3 linked regions of the Caenorhabditis elegans genome follow. The protein of the gene in region 3 interacts with the protein of the main gene of each other region in a pairwise test. Each region holds a gene or a part of one and is shown on either strand. Other genes may lie near its edges.

Region 1 (7,011 bases), on a different chromosome or scaffold from region 3:
GTGCCACGACTATTATTAGTAGGGGCCTGTATATGCATATGATTTTATAATAATAAAAGAATCCCCGCTGTGTGTTTGGTATGTACAATCAGAGTAGTAATATTAGTAGGTCCATACATACACTTTATGGAATAAAAGTGAGCATAGAAGTGAATTGAAAGAGCCGGTGTGGAGTGGGGCGGTTCTCGATTTCTTAGTTCCACGTTGACGGGCGCTATCAGAGAGAACTGCAAGAAATAAGAAAAACGAAGAAATTGTATGCGATTTGCATACCCCATTCCCAAACTATCAAATGTTTATGTTTTCGCTTCGTACGGTGCCGGCGGCGCGCTTCGTTCTTTTTTTGATTGTTTCTATCGAGAATATGAAGACGAACGGAAAAAAAGGCTAACGGGAGAAAAGACAGAGGAGACGAATATTCGTATTGTTTTCTTTTTCCAGGGAGAACAACAATCATTGAACGACTACGATGGGAATAAGGATTTGATTGTGTCTGGAAAAGCGATGAAGTATATACAGGCGGTTAATGTAAGGCTGTTTGGTTTATGCAAATTCATTTTGAGAAGATTTTTCACACACTTCAATACTTGGAAAAAACTTTCCAAAAGACTTTCAAAATATTTGTCTATCCTTAAATGCCCTGAAAACGTCAAAAATCTACGTTTGGGTCTAAAAATTTCTGATCTACCTTTTTTCTAGTTCAAAGTGCTCATATGTATCTAAATTGTATTGAACTGTATTTACAGGTATCGACAGTAGGGATTTAGTCTAAACACACTTCATATAGTCCGAAATTTGGAAATATCTCAAAAATATATCCAATAAATTTTAGATTTTATAAACTTTCTGGCATAGTTTTGGTAAATTGGCAAAATTTCCAAGTGTTCATTTTTCAAAAATAAGGACTATACGAAAATCTTACTTTTTAAATTGCAAATTAATATAGAAATTCAGTAAAATGTTTGAATAATCCGAGAATAAAATGTATTCTTGATGAAAGTTTCAAAAAAAAAGCTTTCAAATAGTGCCGGAGTCGCTGGTTCACAACACTTTTTCGGCAACAAGCAACTTTCAGACACTATTTGAGACCCTGTTTGAAACTGTTTGACATTAATAAGTTTTATTCTCAGATCGGTCCAATGTTTTATTGCATTTCTATGTATATAAATTTTGGATTCAAAAAGTAGAATTATCACATTGAAATAAGCAGTTTTTTTGCGGAATAGTCTTAATTTTTGGAAAATTTGACAATTTACCAAAACTTGCCTGCAAGTTTATAAAATCTGAAAATTTTTGGATTTCTATTATACAATTTTACCATTTCTGGAGTATATTAGGTGTATTTAGACTAAATCGTTGTAAATTTTTGACGTTTAAAGGATATTTTAGAGTAGTCAAATATTCTGGAAACTTTTTTGGAAAGTTTGAAAAATTTGGTAATTTACAAAAACTTTGAAATTTTCCGACCTTCATTTTTTACAGTTTTTTCCTTTTACTATATATTTTTTCAAAACCAAAATTTCTACCGAAAACCCTTTAAATTACAATACTTCAAAATAAAACTGTAGATTACAGCTCGGCTTCATCCCTCTTCCAAAGTACGCTCCACCAAAATCACTCGTCGGTGTCAACAGTGGAATCGGAATTCTCGGAGCACAAGCACCAACTGGAGGCTAGAACTTTCTAATTTCTAATAATTTATATGTTTCGCCACCCACTTTTCCTGTTCAAACCCCTAAATGAATGTACATACAAATTGGATTGCGAGAGCATGTCCGGACGCAAATCAAAATGTCCTGATAAAGACTATAAAGGTGATAAGCAGTGGGTGTCGATAATGTCTTGAATATCATCTTTTTGAGACTCTGTTTCAGACAGCACTACTGAATCATGCGGTGGTTAGGTAGGTCATTTTGAATTAGGAATTATTAGAAAAAGAAACTAATCGTTTAGATTTACGTAGGCTCGTGTATTCTGCTAGGAGAATCTCAATTTTTTAAAAATGATTTTGTATCTATCATGCTCTTGTTCATAGGTTCCTAGACATGTATTCTTTCCTTTTTTTCAGAAAACAAGAAATTAATTTTAAATTTTAAATATCCAAATTTCGTAAAAATTGCCGCTTTGCTTTATACGCGCTCGCTATTTTTCTGAGTAGGTCTCTTCACGATCTCAGCCGCAGTGGGTGGTGGCTACAACTTTCAAATTCCACATAGTTGTTCAATTTGCAACCTGCTAATAAATACTAGAAAATTAGTCAAAAATCTAGCCTTTTAGTTAGAAAAATACACCCATTCTTTACGTTCAGTTACCACGTTGCTATGTTGCTCCCTGGCTCATGGGCTCAAGGATCTCGGAGCTCCGAACTGGTCGTGTGACGCTAGTGTTATGGCAAAGAGTAAGAAAGTTCCCACCAGTGCTCATAGTGTTCGATTTGCTGATATCAAGGTTATTGGAGCACTTGGGGACTCGTTGACTGTGAGTATGCTTTAATTTTACTAAAACCAATTAGGTCAAACTTCCAGGCAGCCAATGGTGCTGGAGCTCAACCAGGAGACCCGCTGGCAGTCATCCTGCAATATAGAGGACTTGCCTTCCAGATTGGAGGTGATAAAAGCCTTGATGAGCACATTACTGTTGCAAGTGAGTTTTTACAATTTTGATAATATTTTTACCCTTCTAAAACCTTTCAGATGTACTAAGAAAGTTCAATCCAACCTTGGTGGGTGCCTCAAAAGGAATCGGCTCGGAAAACGTATGGGAAGTTTCTCACTTGAATATGGGAGTTCCTGGAGCTGAATCCAAGGATATTATCGGTCAGGCAAGAGCTCTGGTCAACACTATGCATGCTCATTCTGAAGTAATTTAGAGCTTCTGAGCCCCCTTTTCAAATCAAAGCTTTCAGATTAACGTGAAAGAAGACTGGAAACTTGTCAACATTTTCATTGGGGCAAACGATATTTGTGTCTATTGTGAAGATCCGTACTTCAACTCGACGGCTCTTCATGGAAATGCAACTTTTGAGAAGAATATCATCGCAGCTGTTCAGATTCTTCAGGATAATCTGCCAAGGTATTGAATAGACGCGAAATTTTGCAATTTTTGCGCTAAGAATACGGTATCCGGTCTCGGCGCGATAATATTTTGTAAAGTTAAAACGGGTGTGTGCCATTTAAAAAGTACTGTAATTTCAAACTGAATTTCCATAAAGTTTTTTATTTAAAAAATATTTATACAAAAACTAAGAAAAAATAATAAAAACCAGATGAATTTTAACAAATTGTGAGCAAAAAGACAAAATTTTAAAATTACAGTACTCTTTAGAGGCGCACGAATTTCAAATTTAAACTGTTCAGTAGAATTTCAGTTTGCAAAACTTTTTCTTCGTGGCGTGAGTTTAAAAATTCAAATATTTATTCCAGAACAATTGTCTCACTGACCGGAATGTTCAACATGAGAATGCTTCGTAAGATTGACAAGAAGAAGTATTTCTGCGAAGGACTTCATACGTAGGGGAACTTGAATTCCTAAAAATTCTGTTTAACTTTTGGCTTTTAGATTCGAATGTGATTGTGAGTCCAACAAACAATTCACTGATGATGATATTCAAGGAGTTTGCTTCGGATATATGGTTTGTTTTGGATTATTACCAGTCCCAGGTCTTGACGTGAGCCAAACTTTTCAGATACCGTAGTGTCGCATACGGTACGGTAGCTGAAAAGTTTCGGTCGTGGTGGGACACATCTTTCTAAATTTTTAAAAGTTTTCAGAATGCTGAAAAAGATATTCAAAACACGGGATTATTCGATAACAAGGATGATTTCACGTTTGTAGTTCAACCATTTTTCAACGGGATTCTGGATCCACCATACGCGGTTGGCACATTTTGAATTTAAATTTCATTTAAATATTTGCATTTTCCAGAGCCCAGGAGTTGTTGACATGACATTCTTTGCTCCAGATTGCTTCCATTTCTCGGCTTACGGGCATGGAAATATTGGAATGCATCTTTGGAACACAATTGTTCAACCAGTAATCATAACTCCGGAATAATGATTTTATTGTTTAATGGGATTTTTCTAGGTTGGATTCAAACAAACCAGTGTCAATTTGAGTGATCCTTCAGTTGGATTACATTGCCCAAGTACAAACTGTCCGTTCTTCCCGACTACAAAAAACAGCAATAACTGTGCTTCACACTTCACGTTGAGCGAGCTAGATTAAACTTTTTCGCGAATATTCAATTGTTTTCAAATGAACTTTATGAGAAGTGTTATGTATTCGATAAAAAATTGCAAAGTTTGCATCCAAATTGTTTTATTGAATTTTATAAAAATAATATATTAAATTAGTGGTAGTTTTTAGACAAAAAAACACACAAACAGAGAGAGAGAAAGAGAGAGACGCACAACATTAGATTGGTCGATTACATGATTCGGCTTTTTGCACGAGTTACTGACGTTACGATAAAAAAATAGATGGAACAGGAAATTTCACATGAGAGGTGCAATGATAAATAAAATTATGGAGATGCAGATCCGGAACGTGGAGAAGAGTTGTCGCGTCTTTTCTTTGGTGATGGAGAACGGTTTGGTGGAGAGTTGGAGCGGGAACGTCTGGAAAATAGAAATGTATTTTCTCACTAATCATAAATTTATTTTTACCTTCCGCCGGAACGAGAACGGCTCTTGCTCTCACTGCGAGCTCTCTTGTCGGATCGTTTCTTTGGTGATGCACTACGGCTCTTTCTGTCCGATCTGTCAGATCCAGGACTGCGACGACGAGCTGGTGGAGAACGGCTTCTAGTGGGACTTCTGGATCGAGAGCGACGGCGTGGACTTCTTGAACGGCTGCGGTCACGGGTCTCATCCGTGCATTTGAGCTTTCTTCCGTTCAGGTCTTCACCTTGCAACTTGTTCATCGCATCACGCAAGTCGTCATGGGAAGTGAAGCATACGATTCTAAAAATAAAAACGATGAATTACATTTAAAAGAAGTGCATATCATACGCTTGGTTGACATTTCTCTTGTGCGCCTCGGAGTAGGTCGGCTCGATTCCCAGCTTGCGGATGTGGTCCTTGATGTCCTAAAATTCAGGTACAGGGTATTGATTGTTTGTGAAGTAGGGCCAGATTGATAGGAGGAAGAAGAATGCCATTGACTGAGGAAATTGATTGAGAGCAATTGAATTGCAAATTGTATTGGCAAATGGCACACCCACTGAGTTGCTGCTGTAGCATTCAAAATGTTCGTTTTGAAAAAATGAGTGACAGTTTTCAGTAAAATTTGGAACGGGGGTAGTATTTCGTTAGTTGTTCAATCACACTCAAACACGCAACTTGTGAATCGCTATGGCTCGCAGTCATGTATCTTACCTGCCAACTGTAACGAGTAGACAAATTATCGATCACCAAACGGAATCTAGTCGAGCACGGACGACTGTATCGGTTGGAAAACTGGCGCTCGCCGCCTTTTCTGAACGTTGGCTCACGTCCTCTGAAACCACTCCCACTTCTTTCCTCGTTGTACCCAACTTTACGCCGTGGAAACTCAAGAATGACTCTCTCTCCACAAAGCTCTTTCCCATTCAAATCGTGGACAGCGTCATCGGCATCGCGCTGGTCTTGAAAATCCTGAAATTATGACATATTCAAGATATTCTGACGAAAATATGTTATCTCTTACCACGAAACCAAATCCGTTCTTCATTATGACATCAGACAGCTTTCCATATCCGCGGAAGAAGTGCTCGACATCACGATCAGATGCTCTATTTGGCAAACGACCGATGTAGACACGAACCATGTTTAGAGGTCTGAAATAAGTGAAGAATGAGAAAAGTCAATTCAAAAGAGAGAAGAAATAAGAAAAGTCTGGAGAAATAAAAATTATTGTGGCCAGAGAGGAAGAGAATTTGGGCATTGCACATTAAATAGGAGGCAATATGTACATGCACATGCACGCGACGCGCTGAAATTAAGTCGATAATCAATAAAATGGGAGCACAGGACGATGCCACAGAGTTATAAAACGAGAAACGCGCAATGGTATCCCATTAATGCGTCAGCAGCGTTCTGACACGCACTTAGTGCTCTAAGCGTTGCGGTTGCGTCGCGGGTGCCCTCATTTGAAACTGATTTTCGCATTTTGTGCGGCATTTCTTCTTATTTTTAAAGTATTTCACTAATCCTGCATTGAATTTCGCCTGCGTAGGTGTTCAGGTTGATATGCTCTTAACTTTTCATCAGAATGCAAACTATAATCTTGTGGTTTTAGGATTTTATATGAAAATAAGTCGAATAAGCGCTTTAAGATGTTTTTTTTGTGATGAAAGGCATTGATTCACAGAATCTCAAATAAAGAATATCAAAGCAAAATGAGTCCATTGGCTAACCTGGATGTGAAAGCGTTAAGTGTTATATATTTACTTTAAAAAAAACTTCAAATTATTTTCAAGCTAGGAAACGATATTAGAACTTTAAAAAACGCAGAAAATCATCAAATTCGAAAGGAAGGAATTTTAGGATTACGCAAATGCAAGATCATTTTTTTCATATGTGGGTCAGAGTTTGAAACTAATTAGGAGAAAAACATTGCAACTAATTTAAGAAATGTAGGGCGCAGACGAGAAAAGAGTGGTTGTACGCAGAGAAAATGAGTGTGTTTTGAGTAAAACAGCTGCCCCGCTTATCGGCCAAGGTGCGCGTTGTTGTCATGGCTACATTGTCTGTGAGTGCGCTCTCAAACGCGCACATTTTGTGAATCGATAATCTTCTCGTCTTCAATATTATTTTTCTCCTCTGTGATACAGGCCATTCATTCATTCGCTTTCTTTTCAGCATGGCAGCTCGAATTTACATCGGTCGGTTGACTTCTCGTGTTTCTGAAAAGGACATTGAGCATTTCTTCCGTGGTTATGGCCAAATTCGCGACGTCCTACTCAAGAATGGTTTTGGATTTGTCGTAAGTTATAATTTCTAAAACCATTTCAGTTTCCTAATGTCATTTTTT
Region 2 (5,422 bases), on a different chromosome or scaffold from region 3:
TCTAGTTATGATCAAAATCACGAATAAACCACGTAAAAAGTCAAAAGGGACCTCACTATTAAGGTTTTTATGAAAATTCCCAAGATTCTGCTGGAAAAATGAGTTAAATTTGATTGTTGAAGTGAAAAAAAATGTTGCGAATGGCCTTGCGGACTACGGTGGATTTTTCTGTGCATACACCGTCACGTCTGATTGCGTATCGTGGCGAGACCCATCGAACCTCAACGCATGGCTTTTTCCGCTATCCTAAAATTTTTTCACGATTTTCGCCTGATTTTTCACGTTTTTGCGCGATTTTTTGCATAAAATTGATTGAATTTTTAATTTTTAAACGATTAATAGTGCTAATTATCGATTGTAGTTCTTATTCTGCGAGATTTGTCAGAAACTAGGTAGGAAAAGTGGAAAAATGTTCCCAAAATCCAAATTTGTCTATTTCTCAACCAGAATTTCAGTTGTAGGGGGTCCCTCTTGATTTTCAACACAAGGAGTTTAATTATTACCGGTAGATTGTTTAAGCATGCTAGCTCGGGTATGGGTCCGTGGACTTGCAGCCACAAAGAAAAAACCGCAAGTTCTCGTCAAAGATGGACCATCGCTTCAGGATTTTATTTCATCAGGTAAAACTCAAACAATATTGTTTCATAATCAAATAATTATTAATTTTAGCATCCGTGGCAGAGGCTGTTGAGAAGTACGAAGGAAAACTGAAGCTGGAGAAAGGGGACAGACGTTTGCGACTTCCACCATGGCTCAAGAAAGAAAAGGTATAGCCTATCAATTTTTTGCCCCTCATCACAATTGTTTTCAGATTCTTCCATCGGAAAACGAAAATGTCAGTCGTCTAAAAAAGCAGTTGAAACATCTCAAACTAGCGACTGTTTGTCAGGAAGCACGGTGCCCAAATCTTGGAGAATGCTGGGGAGGATCAGATGACAGTCTAGCAACAGCGACAATCATGTTGATGGGAGATACCTGCACTCGGGGTTGTAAATTCTGTTCGGTCAAAACTGCTCGAGCTCCTCCACCATTGGATCCTATGGAACCGGAAAATACGTCGACCGCCGTTGCTTCATGGGGTGTCGAATACATTGTTTTAACATCAGTTGACAGGTAACTTATTCGTATCTTGAGCTTTTAATCAAAGTAATTTTCAGGGATGATTTGCCAGACGGTGGAGCCGATCATCTTCGCAAGACAGTACAGCTGATGAAGCTCAAGAAGCCTGAACTTCTCATCGAATGCTTATTGCCCGATTTCGCTGGAGATAAGATCAGTGTGGAGAAAATGGCTACCAGTGGACTCGATGTATATGCACATAACATTGAAACGGTTGAAAGACTGACTCCATGGGTCAGAGATCCACGAGCTAAATATCGGCAGTCTTTGGACGGTAAGCAGCTTTTTTTTTTTTCAGAATCTCGTAAATATTATTGAATATTTTTTAAGCTCTTCGATACGCAAAGGAAGTCAGCCCAAAGCTAATCACGAAGACATCGATTATGCTAGGACTGGGCGAAGCTGAAGACGAGATAAAGCAGTGCTTGGCCGATCTTCGAGCTAGCAATGTTGACGTTGTCACTTTCGGTCAATACATGCAGCCGACAAAACGTCATTTGCTTGTCAAAGAATGGGTGACCCCCGAGAAATTCGACCAGTGGGCAGAATATTCGAAAAAACTGGGATTCCTTTACGTTGCATCTGGCCCTCTTGTTCGCTCTTCGTACAAAGCCGGAGAATTCTATTTGAAAAATGTGTTGAGAAATAGACAAAATTAAGATTACTGAAATATGTAAATATTAGAAGAATTTGTGCGGGATTCTTGCCAAATAAATTCTCGAAATAGTTTTCATATATTTATTGTTATGCGCGTTCTCTCGCTTCGATTTATCTCTCTTCCTTTACTCTCGTGTATTTCTAAACTTTCCCCTTCTTATCAGTATTTATTTCAGGGTAAACGATGGGTCTGTCGAACAGAGCAATCATCATTGACGGAAAGAACCACCTTCTCGGTCGGTTGGCTTCCATCGTTGCAAAGAAGCTTCTCCAAGGAGACAAGGTTGTCGTCCTCAGAGCTGAAGAGATCGTCATCTCCGGAAACTTCCACCGTTCCAAGCTGAAGTACATGAGCTTCCTCCGCAAGCGTTGTAACATCAACCCAGCCCGTGGAGCCTTCCATTACCGTGCTCCAGGAAAGATCTTCTGGCGTACCGTCAGAGGTGAGTGATTTTAAACATTATCTGTACTTAAATTAATAAATTCTCTATTCAGGAATGCTCCCACACAAGACCAACCGCGGAAACGAGGCTCTCAAGAACCTCCGCGCCTACGAAGGAGTTCCAGCCAAATACCAGAAGACCAAGTCTCTCCATGCCCCATCAGCCAGCAGATTCCGACTTCAACCAAGAAGAAAGTTCTGCGTCGGTGAGTTATTATAATTTTTTTGATCACAACGATTATTTAATTTTCAGTTGGACGCTTATCGCACGAGGTCGGATGGCAATTCCAGGATGTTGTTGCCAAGCTCGAGGCTAAGAGAAAGGTGAAGGGAGCCGCCTACTTCGAACAGAAAAAGAAGATGGACAAGCTCGCCGTTCAAGCAAAGAAGAATGCCGCCCCAAAGATCGCTCAATACCAGAAGATCATCGAGGCTCTTGGATACAATTAAATCCATGCACAAATCTGTTTTGTTTGGTATTATAAAATTGTTGACCATATCACTACTGTTTTTTCAAAACATATTCAGGTTACTTGTTGAGAGTCTTTGTTTCATATTTCTGTCTCACTGCATGTTTTCGAGAGGTCCCACGAAATTTATTTGGAAATTGCCAGTACATTTAAGGGCAGAGAAACTGAAGGTTTTTAATTTTAGATTTTACGGAAAATCGAAAAAACACTATTTTTACTAAAAAATTAAGAGATATTTTTATTAAAACACTGCTAGATCCACTTTATGCCGATCCTCTTCTCGTGGAGCCTCTTCTTTGAATATCATCTTTTATTAATATCAGAGCTACAAAATGGCTACAATCCTTCATAAGCAAGGTTCCGTCGTCGCTGTTTCACACGATATGATGATGGTTCGCTATGATGGAAAAGGTGTTCTTTTTAAGAAGGAATTGCTCACTCGTGGATATAAACATGACGATATAGTTCAATTCAATGCTAGAAAAGCTACAACTGTAAGCTTATTTCCAGGAAAACTTTAATAAAACCCGATGTTTCAGGTAGATATTGAAGTTGGCGATAAGCTATCACAAATGGCAAACTATGAACTCGCTTGGGTTGGCACTGAGCTTAAATTTATCAAACAAGGACGAATGTTGGTTGCTGAGGGTGCAGTTATCAATATTCCCGATGATAAAGCTCAGTATATGTTCGTTGACTGGAAATATACCAAAAATCCGCCAACTCTTGCCAAGGTTTGTGGAAACGTGGAATAACGAGCAATTTTAATACGAAATTAACTATTAAGACTACAAAATTCAGATTCCAGGCTATACTAAGCCTTTGACAACCAATGTATTCGTGACTCGAGCCACTGTTCGTCCTGACGTTGAGAAGTTGACTGAAATGTTTAAGCCGGGCCAACGTGTCAAATTTGTTGCACGAGAGCAAGCGCCGAATGAGAGAGGAGTCTGTTGGAGAGCCGCGTTGGCTACTGATGAATATCATGATATTGCGGTATTGAAATTTTGAGAAAAACGTCAAAAATTTTGTTGAAATTTAAAATTTCGTCAGCTTGTCGTTTTCGCAGTCGTTTTCGAATTCAGTTTTATTGAATTTTCCCTTTTTTTTTAACATTTTTGGGAAGTTTTTCGCTGATTTAGGCGCTTTTTTAGTCGCTGGGCATTCAATTTGCTTAAAATAACTGATAAACAGCCAAAATATGTGATAATTCAAAAAAAAACTATATTCAAGCTGCGGAAATTTCAGATTTTTTCAAAGTTTGGCTCTTTTTTCGCAATTTTTGAGGATTTTCAAACTTTAATCGACTTTATGAAGCATTATTTTCGGAAAGTCTAAAAATTTCCTATTGCACCATATTTTCCCAACATTTTTCTTTAAAAACTAGTGTAAAAATATAGAAATTCACTTGATTTATCTGAAAAAAACGTTGATTTCAGTTGAAACATTTGAAAATGTGCTTCAAAATTAATTGTAAGATGCAAATCACTGATTTGCACTTTCCAGGTAATTTTATAGTACATTTTCAAATTTTTCAACTAAAATCAACGTTATTTTCAGAAAAATCAAGGGATTTTCTATTTTTTCACACTAATTTTTAATGAAAAATGTTGGAAAAACATGGATAGGCAATAGGTAATTTTCTAGAATTTCTGCGGTGTTCAATCGAAAAAAAAATTGGAAAACCCTCAAAAAATGCCAGAAGAAGAGCCAAATTATAGCTAATACGTAGTTATATGTCGAAAAAATTCCGTATTATGGTAAATATCTAATTAATTTATTTTCAGATAGATGTTCCCAACGCTCACGGCCGCCAAACTTATCGAGTAATTCCAAAAGCCGGAGTTTGTCCGCCAGCTCCCCTTCAACAACGTCCTTTAGCTCCTCCAAACCCCCAAGTTCCGTCTACTTCCGCTTGGAACATAGCCCCCACTCCAACTCCAGTCACTGTACAGAGACCTTTGAGAAAACCGGTTACTCCACAACCAGTTAAAAGTGCATTTCAAGCTCAGAAGCCACCACCAATCGATGGATTCGACTATTTTGATAGTTCAAAGGAGGCTTGTGCGGCGAGATTCCGGAACTTTGGTTAGAAATTCGAAATATTATTGGGACGCAGAAAAATTTCCAATTCAATATGAACGCTCCGCCCCGAACAGATGGGTCTCGTTGGGTATTTGGTGGAAAATGCGAAAATTCAAAGATTTTCAATCATTTTTTGTCTTTTTTGTTACATTTTCAGCCGTTTTCAATGATTTCTAAATCTACGCGGTGTGAGAATGTCTCACTGCGGTTTGATCTACGAAAAATGCGGGAATATTTTTCCAGAAAAATTGTGACGTCATCACGCTCTTAATTATGCGAAATCGGATGAGATGTCTGCGCATCTTCTCCCGCATTTTTGGAAGATCAAAGCGTAATGGGACTTTCTGACTCCACGTGAAGTCGAGATGATGGCTTAAAAATATTATTTGTCCAAATAATTATCGATTTTCGGCATAAAACTTATTAAAACCCGCGGAAAATTAAGCAAAAAAGACGAAAAAAATGCTTAAAAACGCTTGAATTTGAGGTCCCACGAAAAATGAGGTGAACGAAAAGGAGATCTGAAAAAAAAATGCAATTTTTCTTCTGCAACGCACGTTGATATTTGAAATTTTTCTTCTGGAAAACTCGCTAAACAACGCGAGATGCGGAATATCGGAGCATCGTTGTATCGTTCTCTTCGAGAAAA
Region 3 (8,099 bases):
GAAATGCTCGGTATTCTGCGTTGTAGTAATTCTGGCAGCCCACTGAAAAGATGACTTGGTTTTTTTAATTGATAATATGAAAACTTACAAATTTGAAAGAACAAAGTGATAAGTATAAACGAAAGTAAGTAGGTAGCCATAACAATTAGTTTGGTAAATGTTATACTGAACATTTTATGATAAAGAACTGGAGTAAATACTGCTAGAAATCTGTTTAATGATATTATAAAATGAAAATATGTCGAAGCATCATAGCATATCATCAAAAAGTACCCACATAGATGGGACCAATAGTCCAGGAATTCGTTTTGGCTGAAAATGTGTAGGAATACTGTAGACTGGAGTACTGTAGGGTTACTGTAGTTTTGAAAAAAATGAGTTTTTGTTTTTTGAAGGAATATCGATATGGGGTTTTTGGAGTGTCGTCGAGTAGCAAAAAACATTTCAGCGGGATTTTTTCAATTTTTCAAATAATTTTGGCGGGAAACTTAATTTTCTTTGAGAAACTACCGCACTACTATGTAGATATACGGAACTTCTATAAAATTCGAGACATTTCTGTAAGATTGCCCAAAAGGCAATTTAACTGGATTATATGTATACATTTTCAAATTAAATTTTTTTGGAAAAACCAAAAAAAATACCTATTCAATTTTGCCCGACATATTGTTTTATTCAAAAACTTACAAAAACACCATAGGAGTTGCGTAAAACAAGTATAAAGTTGAAAATACTCCATCGGCAATTGCCAAACCAACAGTTAAAATAGCAAATGGTTTTTGCAATTTTGTAACCTTTATCATTAATATTACGATCGCCCAATTTGTGAAAAACCCGCATGAAGAAAACTGAAAAAAATATTGCTAAGTTGGAGAAAAAAAGTTCGAATTTCAGCTCACCACAATCATAATTGCAGCAACTATTTTTTCCGAGATCATATTTCGAAACAGAAAACAAGTATCCTAGACCAATAGATATTTTGACCTCAATCCACTTCTATTTATTGGGTGGAGTCAGTGCCACACCTGCCATTTAACGAGTACCTGCAATGAACCGAGCTCTGAGTTGATTAAATAGAAGTGCATGACAGAGTGAGGTAGAGATGTTTTGATTTTTCAATCGGTTAAGGTTTGTATTGGAGATTTTTTCGTAGACATATTATTTAAGCTGTTAAAAAAAATTTAATAAAATTCATGTTGTTCAGAGAAAATTCCTAATGTACGTATTACTCATCGTTTATTATACCCCTAACAGAACAATTAACTACCACCCTTTCTTGTTTACGTGTAATCGTCTCCCCACACAGTTTAAATATTCTCTAGTTTTTTGTTTGGTTTCACACACAAGAAACAATTCAGAAAGAATTAAAAATGGATGTTTCAAAAATACTGTTTTATATATACTATAGATTTGGGAAGGATGCAAGTTTGAATTCCCTTCCAATTAATTTCCTTCCACTCATTTTTGAACCAATCAACTTGACACAGTTTATCTGATTGGCTCCAGAAGAGTGGGAGGAACGAATCACTGATTGGCCTTACTGTTTTCATTTTGGGGGAAATTCAAACTGGGAGTTCATTCATACTCAAATTTAAATTGGAAGTCTAATATGAAAATATTAAACTTCCGTGGTGATAAAAACAGAAATCCTTTTTGTGCTCCATATAATTAAAATTTAATAAACTAGCTGGCAAATAAGTGGCGCAATTACCAGATTTTTTGCTTTGATTTTTGCATTTTCTATTCATTTTTGGTTATCTTATAAAACTATACATTGATGTACAATTTATCTAAGGAAAAGGAACAAAACCATTGGAGCACGCACAAAGTACCATATTTACGATTTTTTTTGATTTTTTTCCACTTTGATGATTTTCTTGCAGCTTGTTCTTAGAAGATGGGAACAAATGTGACTTTGATCATGCAAATCATAAATTTAAAATGTACATATTTTTTCTTTACAAGCACATGTTCTGAACCAAAATTCATGATATAAAAATAACTCAGTTCCTAAAACCCTAGACAATGACAATTGGCTTGAGCATTACAATTCCACTAACAAAGACCTCTATTCTTAATCCAATGCAGCCGATTTCGATCTAACAACGTTGAATGCCAGTGGCTGGCCGCTTCTGGAACAGCTCCTTCGGATTTCTGGATTGAAAATCAATGTGAAAAACCTAAATTAGAACTTTTTGAGTATTTAGAATATTTACAATTACCCATCAAACATATGCACTGAAGACCAGAGAATAGAAGAGAAAATAAAGGTGTAATCAATGTCTGGAATAAAACGCGGACCCCAAGTAAAACTACAAACGATTGCAAGAACAAATAGAGTTTGGCTTATGGACTGAAATTATTATTTAAAACAATCTATAAAGATCAATATTACCTGTTTCAACAAGCTAAGTTCTTTTGAGTGCTTTTCTGTTTTTGAGCTAATTTTTAACACTTTTCCGATAGCTAAAAAGTCCAAAATAGTACTGGAAATAGTCAATGAAAAAACAAGATAAAAGTCTAAATAAGTTGCATAAAAACGACAAACGTCTCCTCCAGAATAACGAAATGCTCTTGTTTCTTGGTCATAAAAATTTTGACATCCCACTGCAACTCTCCCGTCAATTTTAGTTGACATTAAACTAACCTACAAATTTGAAAAAATAGTGTTATGATTGTAAGTGCGTAGGAATAAATTCCCATTACTATACAAAACGTGAACAAAACACTAAACATCATACGATAAAGCATTGGTTTATACACTGCTAGAATTCTGTTAAGGGATATCATGAAATGAAAAGTTGTTGAAGCACTGTAGCAAATCATAAGAACATATCCACAAACACTCGAATAATTTGATAAAATATCGCTCTCGCTGAATGGAATTTTTATTTTAACTGTTGGCCTCGCTGAATGAAAAAAAAAACTTGTTCAACTTACAAAAATACCATTGGAGTTGCATAGAATAAGTAGAGCGCGGAAAATGTTCCATCAGCAATCGCTAGACCAACAGTTAAAATTGCAAATGGTTTTTGCAACTTTGTAACTTTTATCATTATAATCACAATTGCCCAATTTATTGTAAATCCACAGAGGGAAAACTGAAGGTACATCAATTTGTTTGAGCTACAATAAAATCTTACCAAAAGCATAATTGCAGAGATTGTTGTCACGGAAATCATGATTGTAATTTGCAGCCAACAGGAAATGAAAAAGTTAATGTTATGAATGAGAGAGAAATATCTGGAAAAATTGAAACTTTCTTGTCAGGCTCGAGTCACCTGGGCCGGTGGCGTTCAGCTACAATACAAACATAGTTTCTTTCACATTTCGCATAGATACAATTTATTTTTAAAAAATCCGTTAGGCTATTAACTAAATGTTTTTATACCTAATTTTTTAAACTTTGAAATGTGTTTCAAAGTGAGTTCAAAACTAAAATTTCAAACTCTAGAGATCCCGGAAGCTAGGAAATCCCAGAAGCGAGGCAGCAACCACTGTAGCTCTATACAATCAAATCGAAAAAATGTTCGGGTCTGAAAACCAACTTATGTCATGCATGACAAATCATGTAAATTAAATTAGAGTCGAAATTTGTCGTTCTTACATGTCTACGTGTCTATGTGGTTCATTGATTCTTTTGATTTTCGATTAGCTAGAACGGTTCAAAAATTTAAACAAAATTAAAAGATAAATCTTATAAAAATAGATTGCTTATCGCTGTTTGCCCTTGAAAACTAGTTCTCATGTGCGAACCTTGCGTGAACAAGGTCATAGAGCAAACTCAAACAAGACCTCTCTTCTTTGCTTGCGCAATACTACAATTTATTCCTGTATTAGCTCGGAGTTTTTTAGTGACTCGATAGCTTACTTGAAGCTTTAGGCGAACGCTTTTGCGCGCGGCCGCAAGAGAGAGTCACATTTAGAAGAGGATCAGGAAATTAGGAACTGGAACCGGTTTACTGAGCAGCTGGAAAAGTCATATAAAAGAGAAGAACAGAGCTTCATTACCATCCGATTTCCTCGGTTCGAATCATTATTAAAATGCGCTTTACTTCACTTTCTATTGCGTTCCTTGCATGTGCCCTTGTGGTATCTGGAAGTGCAATCCGTGAAAAGAGACAGTGTGGATGTGCTCAGCCACAGCAGAGCCAATGCTCGTGCCAACAAGTTCAACAGACTCAGTCATGCTCGTGCCAATCTGCTCCAGTTCAACAACAATCCCCATCCTGCTCATGCGCTCAGCCACAACAAACTCAACAAGTTCAGGTACAGTTCATTAACATATTCGCAAACCATTAAATCAAAAATTTTAGGTTCAATCTACTCAATGCGCCCCAGCTTGCCAACAGAGCTGCCAACAGCAATGCCAGGCTTCTCCATCAGTGTCCCAGTGCCAGCCACAATGTCAGCAACAGTGCCAGGCTCAATGCACTCCAATGTACAACCCACCAACCACTACTACCACCACCCAAGCTCCAGTTGTCCAATACCAACAGTGCCAACCAGTATGCCAACAGCAATGTCAATCTACCTGTGTTCAACAACAACAACCAGCAGCTCAATGTCAGCCACAATGCCAACAACAATGCAATGTTGCCTGTGATTCCCCATCCACTACCACCCAGGCCCCACAAGTGATCCAAATCCAACTCGAGATCCAACAAGCTCAAGCTCAATGCCAACCACAGTGCCAGCAACAATGCCAATCTTCATGTGTCCAGCAACAGCAACAATCCAACCAGTGCGAGCCAGCTTGCAACACTCAATGCTCTGATATCTGCCAACAAACTGCTCAGGCTACCCAACAAGTCTACAACCAGAACATGAACCAGAACACCAACACTCAAATGTACAACCCATACAATACCAACACCAACCAGAACGCTAACTGCGCTCCAGCTTGCCAACCAGCCTGCGACAACTCCTGCACTTCCCAGCAGACTCAGCCAATGTACCAACCATACGACACCACCACTGAAGCTCCAGCTCAAGTCATCCAGATTGTTCTCCAGACTTCTGTTGCTCAATCATCCCAATGTGCCCCACAATGCGAACAATCCTGCCAACAGCAATGTGTTCAGCAACAACAGCCAGCTGCCCAGTGCCAAACTGCCTGCCAATCATCATGCTCTAACTCATGCCAAGCTGCTCAACCAGCAACTACTGCCTGCCAGCAGAGCCCACAACAGAGCTCCTGCTCTTGCCAAGCTAACTACTCTCCATGCGGAAATGGACAATGCTGCCGCAGAAAGTAATTTAATTGTTCCTGATTCTTGATTTTTGTATATACCGAAACAATTCAGTTTCAATAAACGCATAACTTTTTAAACCTTCTCGCTTTAAAAATCTGACGTGACATAAAAATAACCAGAATAAACCAGTTGTTTTCGAAACACAACATGTTTATTTAAAAACTGTTAGCGTCTCTTCTTCGACTACATTTTTAGAAAATCTCATAAACATTTGTTCAGTTGGCATTGATACAGGTTTACGTATGTTCTATCTATTTCTGTACTCATTGAAAAATGCTCTCATCAAAGAAATATTTATAGAAAAGTTAGATTTACAAGAATTTTCTAGCTCGCCAGCAGGAGTTTAGAAACTAGAGATTAAAAAAAAAAAGCTCACTGATGAAGTATTTTAAATTCAATTTAGTTTCAAATCGTTTAGGTTCACGACTTTACGTGTTTCACTACCACACTGTTCCTTCATTACGAAAAATGTAATACGACCTTAGAAGTTAAAATTTATTTTAGCTTACAATTAAAATTGCTACATACTTTTTCTGATAATACTTGCGAGTGATAACTTTATAGCGATATATCAAAAATGTTTTCCATTTTCATTAAAATTAGTTTTACTTTTTTAGACAATCTGGTATCTTGATATGCAATACTCGTTACATTATTATTTCAGGCATTCACTTTAATAATATTTCACTGTTTCCGATAGTAATGATTATGCTAGTTTGTGAACCACTTTTCATTATACAGTGAAAACTTTGAGATTCTGGAAGACACTTTTTAAAAAGTTATGCGTTTATTGAAACTGAATTGTTTCGGTATATACAAAAATCAAGAATCAGGAACAATTAAATTACTTTCTGCGGCAGCATTGTCCATTTCCGCATGGAGAGTAGTTAGCTTGGCAGGAGCAGGAGCTCTGTTGTGGGCTCTGTTGGCAGGCAGTAGTTGCTGGTTGAGCAGTTTGGCAGGAGTTAGAGCATGATGATTGGCAGGCAGTTTGGCACTGGGCAGCTGGCTGTTGTTGTTGAACACATTGCTGTTGGCAGGACTGTTCGCATTGTGGAGCACATTGGGATGATTGAGCAACAGAAGTCTGGAGAACAATCTGGATGACTTGAGCTGGAGCTTCAGTGGTGGTGTCGTATTGTTGGTACATTGGTTGAGTCTGCTGGGAAGTGCAGGAGTTGTCACAGGCTGGTTGGCAAGCTGGAGCGCAGTTAGCGTTCTGGCTGGTGTTGGTATTGTATGGGTTGTACATTTGGGTGTTGGTGTTCTGGTTCATGTTCTGGTTGTAGACTTGTTGGGTAGCCTGAGCAGTTTGTTGGCAGATATCAGAGCATTGAGTGTTGCAAGCTGGCTCGCACTGGTTGGACTGTTGCTGTTGCTGGACACATGAAGATTGGCATTGTTGCTGGCACTGTGGTTGGCATTGAGCTTGAGCTTGTTGGATCTCGAGTTGGATTTGGATCACTTGTGGTGCCTGGGTGGTAGTGGATGGGGAATCACAGGCAACATTGCATTGTTGTTGGCATTGTGGCTGACATTGAGCTGCTGGTTGTTGTTGTTGAACACAGGTAGATTGACATTGCTGTTGGCATACTGGTTGGCACTGTTGGTATTGGACAACTGGAGCTTGGGTGGTGGTAGTAGTGGTTGGTGGGTTGTACATTGGAGTGCATTGAGCCTGGCACTGTTGCTGACATTGTGGCTGGCACTGGGACACGGATGGAGAAGCCTGGCATTGCTGTTGGCAGCTCTGTTGGCAAGCTGGGGCGCATTGAGTAGATTGAACCTAAAATCATTAATTTAGTAGTGTTTGAAATAAATGCATAAAAGGTACCTGAACTTGTTGAGTTTGTTGTGGCTGAGCGCATGAGCAGGATGGGGATTGTTGTTGAACTGGAGCAGATTGGCACGAGCATGACTGAGTCTGTTGAACTTGTTGGCACGAGCATTGGCTCTGCTGTGGCTGAGCACATCCACACTGTCTCTTTTCACGGATCGCACTTCCAGATACCGCAAGGGCACATGCAAGGAAGGCAATGGCAAGTGAAGTAAAGCGCATTTTAGTAATGATTCGAACCGAGAAAATCGGATGATAATGAAGCTCTGTTCTTCTCTTTTATACTACTTTCCCATACCCCCACCCTCTGTACCAGACCTGAAACTTCTTGATTTCCGCTCTTCCGTTCACTTTTCGTCTATGTGTCTCTCATTCTCTTTCCGGCCAAACTGTTTGCCTTATAAAAAAGTGTTCGTGTAAAAAAAGGTGCGGTGAGCATTAGAATAAACTCTCTAATCAAACAAACGTGTGTCGAGGAAAAAGGTGAAAACTGGTATGTTGCAAATTGGAAACTTTAATTTTGGAATGTGATGTTCCTTGATCTACATTATGTTACGGAATCGTTTATCTGAAGTGAATTTTTAACGCTGTTTTGTTTTCTTAAAGTTTCGGAAATATTTTATTTTAGGTTTTATTCAGCTTGCGGCCTTCCTTCAAATCTATACTGCTATGGAAATTTTGAAATTATTGTATCTTTTTTTATTCTATCGGTGGCGAACTATACCTCTTTTTATTTAAAATTTACAAATGACTGGTTATGAAGTTGAGACAAGTGAGCGTTTAGTTTCTAACTGACAACTTGTTATATCGTGCTGCAATTTGACAGCTTGGGAAGAATGTAGACAACAAATGTGTTATTTGCCAAATTTGAGAAAATACGTGTTCTAGAAAAATAATTTTCGATTTGAAAAATACTTAAATTATTTTGAAATTTTAGTTTCTCATTTTAATTTGGTTGAACATAATTTGTTATCCTCTCTTGTTCTTATTTGTATGCAATTTCTGAA

Evidence for each region.
Region 1: the proteins of abu-15 (region 3) and W02B12.1 interact in a two-hybrid assay, tested with the Caenorhabditis elegans proteins (one large-scale study listed by BioGRID).
Region 2: the proteins of abu-15 (region 3) and rpl-13A interact in a two-hybrid assay, tested with the Caenorhabditis elegans proteins (one large-scale study listed by BioGRID).

Annotation. Positions count from the first base shown.
Region 1 is NC_003280.10:11,447,141-11,454,151, forward strand, and holds W02B12.1 (Lipase_GDSL domain-containing protein), read left to right. Parts: upstream 1-1,881; 5' UTR 1,882-1,890; coding exon 1,891-1,903; intron 1,904-2,308; coding exon 2,309-2,478; intron 2,479-2,525; coding exon 2,526-2,643; intron 2,644-2,693; coding exon 2,694-2,860; intron 2,861-2,905; coding exon 2,906-3,072; intron 3,073-3,422; coding exon 3,423-3,509; intron 3,510-3,558; coding exon 3,559-3,631; intron 3,632-3,770; coding exon 3,771-3,875; intron 3,876-3,924; coding exon 3,925-4,032; intron 4,033-4,083; coding exon 4,084-4,224; 3' UTR 4,225-4,305; downstream 4,306-7,011. Other genes in the region: W02B12.13 (uncharacterized protein), read left to right, coding at 442-528, 1,569-1,694; rsp-2 (putative splicing factor, arginine/serine-rich 2), read right to left, coding at 4,523-4,616, 4,665-4,961, 5,010-5,086, 5,376-5,633, 5,686-5,805; rsp-1 (putative splicing factor, arginine/serine-rich 1), read left to right, coding at 6,841-6,963.
Region 2 is NC_003281.10:3,500,135-3,505,556, reverse strand, and holds rpl-13A (Large ribosomal subunit protein uL13), read left to right. Parts: upstream 1-1,952; 5' UTR 1,953-1,960; coding exon 1,961-2,219; intron 2,220-2,271; coding exon 2,272-2,424; intron 2,425-2,471; coding exon 2,472-2,668; 3' UTR 2,669-2,716; downstream 2,717-5,422. Other genes in the region: lias-1 (Lipoyl synthase, mitochondrial), read left to right, coding at 521-620, 670-767, 812-1,113, 1,158-1,393, 1,450-1,778; M01F1.8 (VWFD domain-containing protein), read left to right, coding at 3,021-3,182, 3,228-3,422, 3,490-3,684, 4,476-4,776.
Region 3 is NC_003283.11:5,154,579-5,162,677, forward strand, and holds abu-15 (Activated in Blocked Unfolded protein response), read left to right. Parts: upstream 1-4,023; 5' UTR 4,024-4,044; coding exon 4,045-4,269; intron 4,270-4,316; coding exon 4,317-5,258; 3' UTR 5,259-5,329; downstream 5,330-8,099. Other genes in the region: srx-38 (G-protein coupled receptors family 1 profile domain-containing protein), read right to left, coding at 1-42, 89-312, 688-848, 900-938; srx-39 (G-protein coupled receptors family 1 profile domain-containing protein), read right to left, coding at 2,075-2,180, 2,223-2,353, 2,396-2,607, 2,652-2,875, 2,941-3,101, 3,144-3,182; abu-6 (Activated in Blocked Unfolded protein response), read right to left, coding at 6,100-7,041, 7,090-7,314.